2 linked regions of the Struthio camelus genome follow. The protein of the gene in region 2 interacts with the protein of the main gene of each other region in a pairwise test. Links are inferred from orthologs where the notes say so. Each region holds a gene or a part of one and is shown on either strand. Other genes may lie near its edges.

The links. The genes of interacting proteins can lie anywhere in the genome.
Region 1: the proteins of TCHP (region 2) and keratin, type I cytoskeletal 15 interact in binary tests that used the Homo sapiens proteins (3 or more experiments, as listed by UniProt). The link is inferred for Struthio camelus from reciprocal best matches to the Homo sapiens genes TCHP and KRT16.

The regions. Positions count from the first base shown.
Region 1 is NC_090966.1:7,137,208-7,140,956, forward strand, and holds the start of keratin, type I cytoskeletal 15, read right to left. Parts: upstream 2,835-3,749; 5' UTR 2,758-2,834; coding exon 2,209-2,757; intron 1,380-2,208; coding exon 1,297-1,379; intron 392-1,296; coding exon 235-391; intron 1-234. UniProt on the Homo sapiens protein: Epidermis-specific type I keratin that plays a key role in skin. Acts as a regulator of innate immunity in response to skin barrier breach: required for some inflammatory checkpoint for the skin barrier maintenance.
Region 2 is NC_090958.1:19,323,871-19,327,619, forward strand, and holds the start of TCHP (trichoplein keratin filament-binding protein), read left to right. Parts: upstream 1-1,609; coding exon 1,610-1,812; intron 1,813-3,749. Other genes in the region: GLTP (glycolipid transfer protein), read right to left, coding at 1-67. UniProt on the Homo sapiens protein: Tumor suppressor which has the ability to inhibit cell growth and be pro-apoptotic during cell stress. Inhibits cell growth in bladder and prostate cancer cells by a down-regulation of HSPB1 by inhibiting its phosphorylation.

The sequences.
Region 1 (3,749 bases), on a different chromosome or scaffold from region 2:
CACATCTTTGTTATCTCAACGGCCTCTGCATGTAAAACTGAAAACTCCTAGTTCTGAATAGTTTGGAATTAGAGAGGTGCTTTAAGGGACACGATTTGGATTCTTTTGAGATTACAGTTTTCTTCTTAATCATTTAGCTGTAAAACTGTCATTCTGGTTTGTTTTTCCCCCAAATGGAGAGGGGTAAATTCTGAATGGAACTAATTTTCTCTCTTGATTGTTAAGAACTCTCACCTCCTCGTGGTTCTTCTTGAGGTAGGCCAGCTCCTCCTTCAGTGTTTCAATCTGCATCTCCAGGTCAGCTCTGGCCAGAGTCAGCTCGTCCAGGACTCTGCGCAGGCCGTTGATGTCGGACTCCACGCTCTGGCGAAGGAACAGCTCGTTTTCATATCTGCAGTTTTAAAAAGAAACACACGTTGGAACATACAAGAGTTGGTATTGAGGAGAGCTGGAAAACTGTGGAATTTTATGCTGAACGTAGAAGGAACAGGAGGATGTAAATGAAAACATCCATTAAAAGGAAATTTAAAGGGAATGCAGATATTTTTTGCCCCTTTCAAGTATGAAAGCACATGGATTGCCATCTGATTTTATTCCAGAGGAATACATGACCTTTTCAGTTTGTAATACCTAATAGTTATTATCAGCATTGATAGAAAAGTTACCATACAGGACAGTTCGTTTTCAGCATCTTCTCAAATTTGGCACAAAGAAAAGCATAGATTGCCCAGCTCTGCCTAGGGCATTAGAGGAGAAAATACAAACCTGCAGGTACATTGCTGTGAGAGAAAACAATTGTGCAAGTATCTTTGTCATCTTTTCAGCAGTGCCTGACGGGCTGTTCTCAGCGTCCATGAACTGGATAAGCACAGAATCACTGTTGTCTTTCCTTTCTTAATTTGACACTCTGTGCGAGAGAGCTGCTGCAGCCAAGCAGGCATCTCGGCACACCATTCTGTTCCTTTTAAACGCTAATTCCAACCTGTTCCTGCTTTCTTTTCCCGAGTGATTTAGGCTAGTAAGACTATTCAGGAGCATCCTCCAAAATAAGACATGAACTATAATTTATTATGTAAACATCTCAGTAATCTGGATACTATGTTCCATCAAGTTTCTTTTCCCATTTCTTCCTTCATCACATCAATTCTTTTAACTGGATTTTTTCATCATAGGTTATAGAAGAAAAATATGTCAGTGACTGAAGAACTTTTTTTTCTAGATAGGAAGTAATATTAAACTTCAAAAAACCGAGAGAGAGGATGAGAGAGAATAAAAATGTGATCCAGCTAAACTTACTTCAGTCTGAAGTCATCTGCAGCCAGCCTGGCATTGTCAATCTCCAAAATGATTCTGGAGTTGTCAATAGTAGCTGCAAGGATCTGGCAGTAGGAGATACAGAAAAGGATTCCTGTGAGTAATGGTGAAATACCCTTGTTCCTGAGCGCCTAGTAGGTAGTTATTGAAGCTGTTAACCATCGAACAAGGCAGAAAAAATGAACCTCTGTTGAGATTTCATTAGTTAAAGACGCTTTTTGCATTGCAATAACCATTTCATTTTATTATATTGCCTTTTGGTCACGTTGTAATTCTTATGGCTTTTATATGGGAAAACCAAAAAACCTAAACTCTTTACCACCGCCCAGATGCAACCCAGATATCTGAGACACCTTTACTGTAGCCCAAGAAAAGGCAGGTATGTCTGTGTGAAAGTAAGCACATTGTTGTTGTTGTTTTAGAACTTTCTGTGTGTAACCTTTAAATCTTCTTTCTTTACCACTTCATAAGTACTAAGTGAGAAGATAAGCAATGTGTACAGTTCACATTTAACATAATTGTAAAATACATTTACACAATACCTGATCTTATCTTTGCCCTGGAGAATTACTTTTCCAGACTATGAGATCTGCCTATCATATTTTTAGTATTTGATTACTCTCTAAATATATTGATAATTCTAAACCCACTTTGTCATTTTTTGCTAACTTTTAGTGCAATCATTTTAATTTCAACAAACTTCACCTTTTCAGGATGACACATTTACTTTTTAAATTAAGAAAAAAAAGACTCTTTTTTGCTAGAATGCTCATAACTACAATATATTTGGATTTGGGGAATCAATTTTTTATTTATAGTTTTTTAATTGGTTTGAAGAGCAGTTCCGCAATTCCAATGTATTCTTATAACTCCCTGTACCTATGAATGTCATACCTTGTCTCGGAGATCTTCAATTATCTTGTAATAGTGGCTGTAGTCCCGCTCTGGGCTGGTGGGAGCTTGCTTCTGGTACCAGTCTCGTATTTTGACCTCTAAATCAGCATTTGCCTCTTCCAGTGCTCGTACCTTGTCCAGGTATGCAGCCAGACGGTCGTTCAGATTCTGCATAGTTATCTTTTCATTTCCAGAGAGAAGGCCATCACCACCACCAAAGTCAAGACCTCCACCAAAGCCAGCCCCTCCACCAAAGCCAGAGGCTGCACCCCAACCAAAGCCACTTTGTAAGGCACTACCTCCTCCGTAGCCTCCTCCATAGCCACTACCCAAACCAGAACACAAGCCACCACCAAATCCACTTCCTACGGAGGAGACATACCGAGCTGAAGAGACAGAGACACCCCTGCCACCAGATCCTCCATGTATACTTGGAGCCCTGTAGGATCCTCCCGTTCGGATTGAGGAGAGGCGAGAGCTGCTGCTTCCACCGCCCCCAAAGCCACCACCATAGGTAGAAGAGGAGCTCTGTCTGTAGACAGTAGTCATGGCAGAGGCACGAAAGGACCTAGGGTCAATGAGCTTGGTCTAGAGGGAGAATGTGAGTGCTGTTGCTGCCCTGGCGCTTCATTTATATCCCTAGGCAGGGGGTTAGGAGACAAACCCACCCTGCAACCCTCCCTCCAAAGATTCCCCTCCCTAGGGGTGAGGCCATTCCTTACAAAGGGAGCTGGCTGCAGATCCCAGGGGCAAGGACTTGTTTTTTTTTCTTTTAATTAAACAAAAGGGATGATTCAGCTTACAGTTTTTTCTTTAGGCTATAGTTCTGAAACTTGCAGTTTACCTCTCTCGCATTCAAGAATGGAAAAATGGAGTGAGTTCAACCACACCCACTTACCCATTTACAGCAATTGCCATGCCTAAAAACGAAATTTGCTTTAAGTAAAATTCCAATTTCTTTGAAAAATGTACTATCATCAGTTAATCTCACCATTCCTTCTTCATTTTTACTCATATTCTTGTTAAAAATTTGGAATTGAATTTGTCGTGTTCTTCTTCCTGTTCTTTGCTTAGAATTAATTTTCAGATTTTGGAATCTGAATTTTTTAGTACAAAAATTGTATAGTTATAACATTGCTTAAGGGATCATGAACATCCATCGGTGTACAGAGAATATAAGATTGAAATAATTCAACTAAAAGAATAAATGTCAGACTAAGTTCCCATTGCTTTTTGGAAACCTAAACAAATTGGGTTTAAGATGAAACTGTTCAGATAGCAATTAACGTGTGTAATGCCAGTACACACTAGGCAATGGAGTTAATCTTGAAATAAGGTTTAAGACTCACGAAACTGATGTTAAACCTTCGTTTAAACTGGGAGTTTGAAATTGGTCTGTTTCAATCCTAGTAAATTTCTAGTGAAATTCAGAAGTCAGTAATTCAGAATTCGGTTAATTAACATGATTTAATACTGCCTAATTATGAGAAACCAGATTTGAGGGATTTTTACAGAACAATTAGCTGCTCGCTTACACTGCC
Region 2 (3,749 bases):
AGGGCAGCGTCTCGATTTGCTTGTCGGCCGGCAGAGGCTTGAACTCGTGCTCCAGCAGCAGCGCCATGGCCCGCGCCGCCGCCGCCGGCACCGGGACGCGAACCGGGAGCCGAACCGAACCGGCAGCGGGACCGAACCGGCAGCGCCACTGCCGCGAGGGGCGGGGCGGGGCGCGGCCGCGAGACCCCGGCCCGGCCCGAAGCCCCGCCCCCACCCCGCCCCGACCAATCGCCGCGCGCGGCCCGCCCCGCCGCCGGCCAATCCGACCTCGGGGGCGGGCCTCGCCTCACAGCCCCGGCGGTGGCGGCGGCGGCGTCGTCGTGACGCGGCCTGTCGTGACAGAGGCGGCGAGGCGGCGCCCGGGCCGGTTGTTCCGAGGCCTGGCAGCGGGGCCGCGGAGGGGGAGGCTGGCCCGGCCCGGGCGAGGGGTCCCCTCCGCCTGGGGCCGCGGGGATATCAGAGCGTGGCCCTGGCAGCCTGCGCGGGCAGAGCTGGCCGCTCCTCCCCCTCCTTTATCTATACGCTGTTGGCCCCGCACCAGGCGTTCCTTTGCTGGCCTTAATGAAGCTTTCTAATCTAGCTGTTAATTATTTAGCGAGGATAAATTTTTTATATCGACCAGATGGTTTGATCAGCGCATAACTCCCCGTCTCTGCGAGATCCGGCGTATGCTGAAATAAACAAACAAACCTAAGCGCTAACAAACAAGTGGTTAAATGTATCTCCAAAAAGTTGGGGATGGAAAAATCGCATCGAGCTCTTGCCCAGAGAGGTCTGAATTCGCGCAGCTGCTCCGTCTCCACAACTGAAGAGAGCAAACACTGTGAAACGAAAGCTGAGGGAGAGCAAGCGGTGAGAGGTGCAGAAGAAATGAATGAATCTATTAAGAGTAGATTTGGGGAGGGGATTTGTCAGTGACAGGGGCCCAGATATTTTTCACGAGACTGTTCTTGAAAAACAAGCCGGGGACGATACTGATCTTTGCTCGTTTGTCTTAAGAGATGTTATCACGCGGAGAAAAAAAAAGCAGTTGGCTCAGCAGGAGCGTGCGGAGGGCGTTGGCACGATAACGCCAGTGAAGGCAGAAAGTGGGGGAGCCGCGCTGCGGCCCCCTCGCCCCAGAGGTGACACACGTGCTCCGACCCGAGCGACGGCCTCCCCACTGCGATGGCTGGGACGCGCAGAAGGAGCGCTCGGTCTGACGGAGGGGCGCGCGCGAGAGACCCGTTTGCCCTGCGCCTGCGCCCAGGCGCCCCCATTTCTCGATGGCTTGTGATTTGAACGTTTCCGATTAATAATAAATCGCCGAGTTGTTTGTTTTAACGCAGCTTTTGTGTCTCGGAAGGCGAAACGAAATTCTGCTGCCAGTTCTGGGGCTGACGGAAACATAAACCTTTAACCTGCCTGAAATATTTACAGCACAATAAATACTTAAACTGCTGGAAGCTTTAAAACGGTGTAAGGTTTTAAGGCACAATAAACGCCCGAGGTAGCAGCAGGTTTCTAAGGCACCTCAAACAGCCCACGCCCCCGAGCCCTTCAAATCGCTTTCGCACGTAGGGACGTAGTGTCCCTCGGCGGCGCCCGTAGCCGCCTCGGAAGCGTTGCCATGGCGGCGCGCGGCCCTGGCATGGCGCTGCCGCCGCCGCCGCCGCCGTGGGGCCGGGCCCTGGAGCGGCAGCGGGCGCGGCAGCGGGAGCAGGCGGCGCGCAGCCGCCTGCAGTGGGAGCGGGCCAGCCGCTACTTCGCCCACGCCGGGCTCTGCAGCGCCAAGCAGGCCCAGTGGAGCTCACCGCGCGCCCTCCCGCTGAGGTACCGGCCGGGAACCGGGGGGCGGGAACCGGGGGGACGGGGGGAACGGGAGGACAGGGGCTGGAGGGCACCGGAGACCGGGGTGGCAGGGGGGACAGGGGCTGGAGGGGACCGGAGACCGGGGGGGCAGGGGGGACAGGGGCTGGAGGGGACCGGAGACCGGGGGGGCAGGGGGGACAGGGGCTGGAGGGCACCGGAGACCGGGGGGGCAGGGGGGACAGGGGCTGGAGGGCACCGGAGACCGGGGGGGGCAGGGGGGACAGGGGCTGGAGGGCACCGGAGACCGGGGGGGGCAGGGGGGACAGGGGCTGGAGGGCACCGGAGACCGGGGGGGGCAGGGGGGACAGGGGCTGGAGGGCACCGGAGACCGGGGGGACAGGGGCTGGAGGGCACCGGAGACCGGGGGGACAGGGGCTGGAGGGCACCGGAGACCGGGGGGGGCAGGGGGGACAGGGGCTGGAGGGCACCGGAGACCGGGGGGGGCAGGGGGGACAGGGGCTGGAGGGCACCGGAGACCGGGGGGGGCAGGGGGGACAGGGGCTGGAGGGCACCGGAGACCGGGGGGACAGGGGCTGGAGGGCACCGGAGACCGGGGGGGGCAGGGGGGACAGGGGCTGGAGGGCACCGGAGACTGGGGGGGGCAGGGGGGACAGGGGCTGGAGGGCACCGGAGACCGGGGGGGCAGGGGGGACAGGGGCTGGAGGGCACCGGAGACTGGGGGGGGCAGGGGGGACAGGGGCTGGAGGGCACCGGAGACCGGGGGGGCAGGGGGGACAGGGGCTGGAGGGCACCGGAGACTGGGGGGGGCAGGGGGGACAGGGGCTGGAGGGCACCGGAGACCGGGGGGGCAGGGGGGACAGGGGCTGGAGGGCACCGGAGACCGGGGGAGCAGGGGGGACAGGGGCTGGAGGGGACCGGAGACCGGGGGGGGCAGGGGGGACAGGGGCTGGAGGGGACCGGAGACCGGGGGGGGCAGGGGGGACAGGGGCTGGAGGGCACCGGAGACCGGGGGGGGCAGGGGGGACAGGGGCTGGAGGGCACCGGAGACCGGGGGGGGCAGGGGGGACAGGGGCTGGAGGGCACCGGAGACCGGGGGGACAGGGGCTGGAGGGCACCGGAGACCGGGGGGGGCAGGGGGGACAGGGGCTGGAGGGCACCGGAGACTGGGGGGGGCAGGGGGGACAGGGGCTGGAGGGCACCGGAGACCGGGGTGGCAGGGGGGACAGGGGCTGGAGGGCACCGGAGACCGGGGGGGGCAGGGGGGACAGGGGCTGGAGGGCACCGGAGACTGGGGGGGGCAGGGGGGACAGGGGCTGGAGGGCACCGGAGACTGGGGGGGGCAGGGGGGACAGGGGCTGGAGGGCACCGGAGACTGGGGGGGGCAGGGGGGACAGGGGCTGGAGGGCACCGGAGACCGGGGTGGCAGGGGGGACAGGGGCTGGAGGGCACCGGAGACCGGGGGGACAGGGGGGACAGGGGCTGGAGGGCACCGGAGACCGGGGGAGCAGGGGGGACAGGGGCTGGAGGGCACCGGAGACCGGGGGGGGCAGGGGGGACAGGGGCTGGAGGGGACCGGAGACCGGGGGGGGCAGGGGGGACAGGGGCTGGAGGGCACCGGAGACCGGGGTGGCAGGGGGGACAGGGGCTGGAGGGCACCGGAGACCGGGGGGGGCAGGGGGGACAGGGGCTGGAGGGCACCGGAGACCGGGGGGGGCAGGGGGGACAGGGGCTGGAGGGGACCGGAGACCGGGGGGGCAGGGGGGACAGGGGCTGGAGGGCACCGGAGACCGGGGGGGGCAGGGGGGACAGGGGCTGGAGGGCACCGGAGACCGGGGGGGGCAGGGGGGACAGGGGCTGGAGGGCACCGGAGACCGGGGGGGGCAGGGGGGACAGGGGCTGGAGGGCACCGGAGACCGGGGGGACAGGGGCTGGAGGGC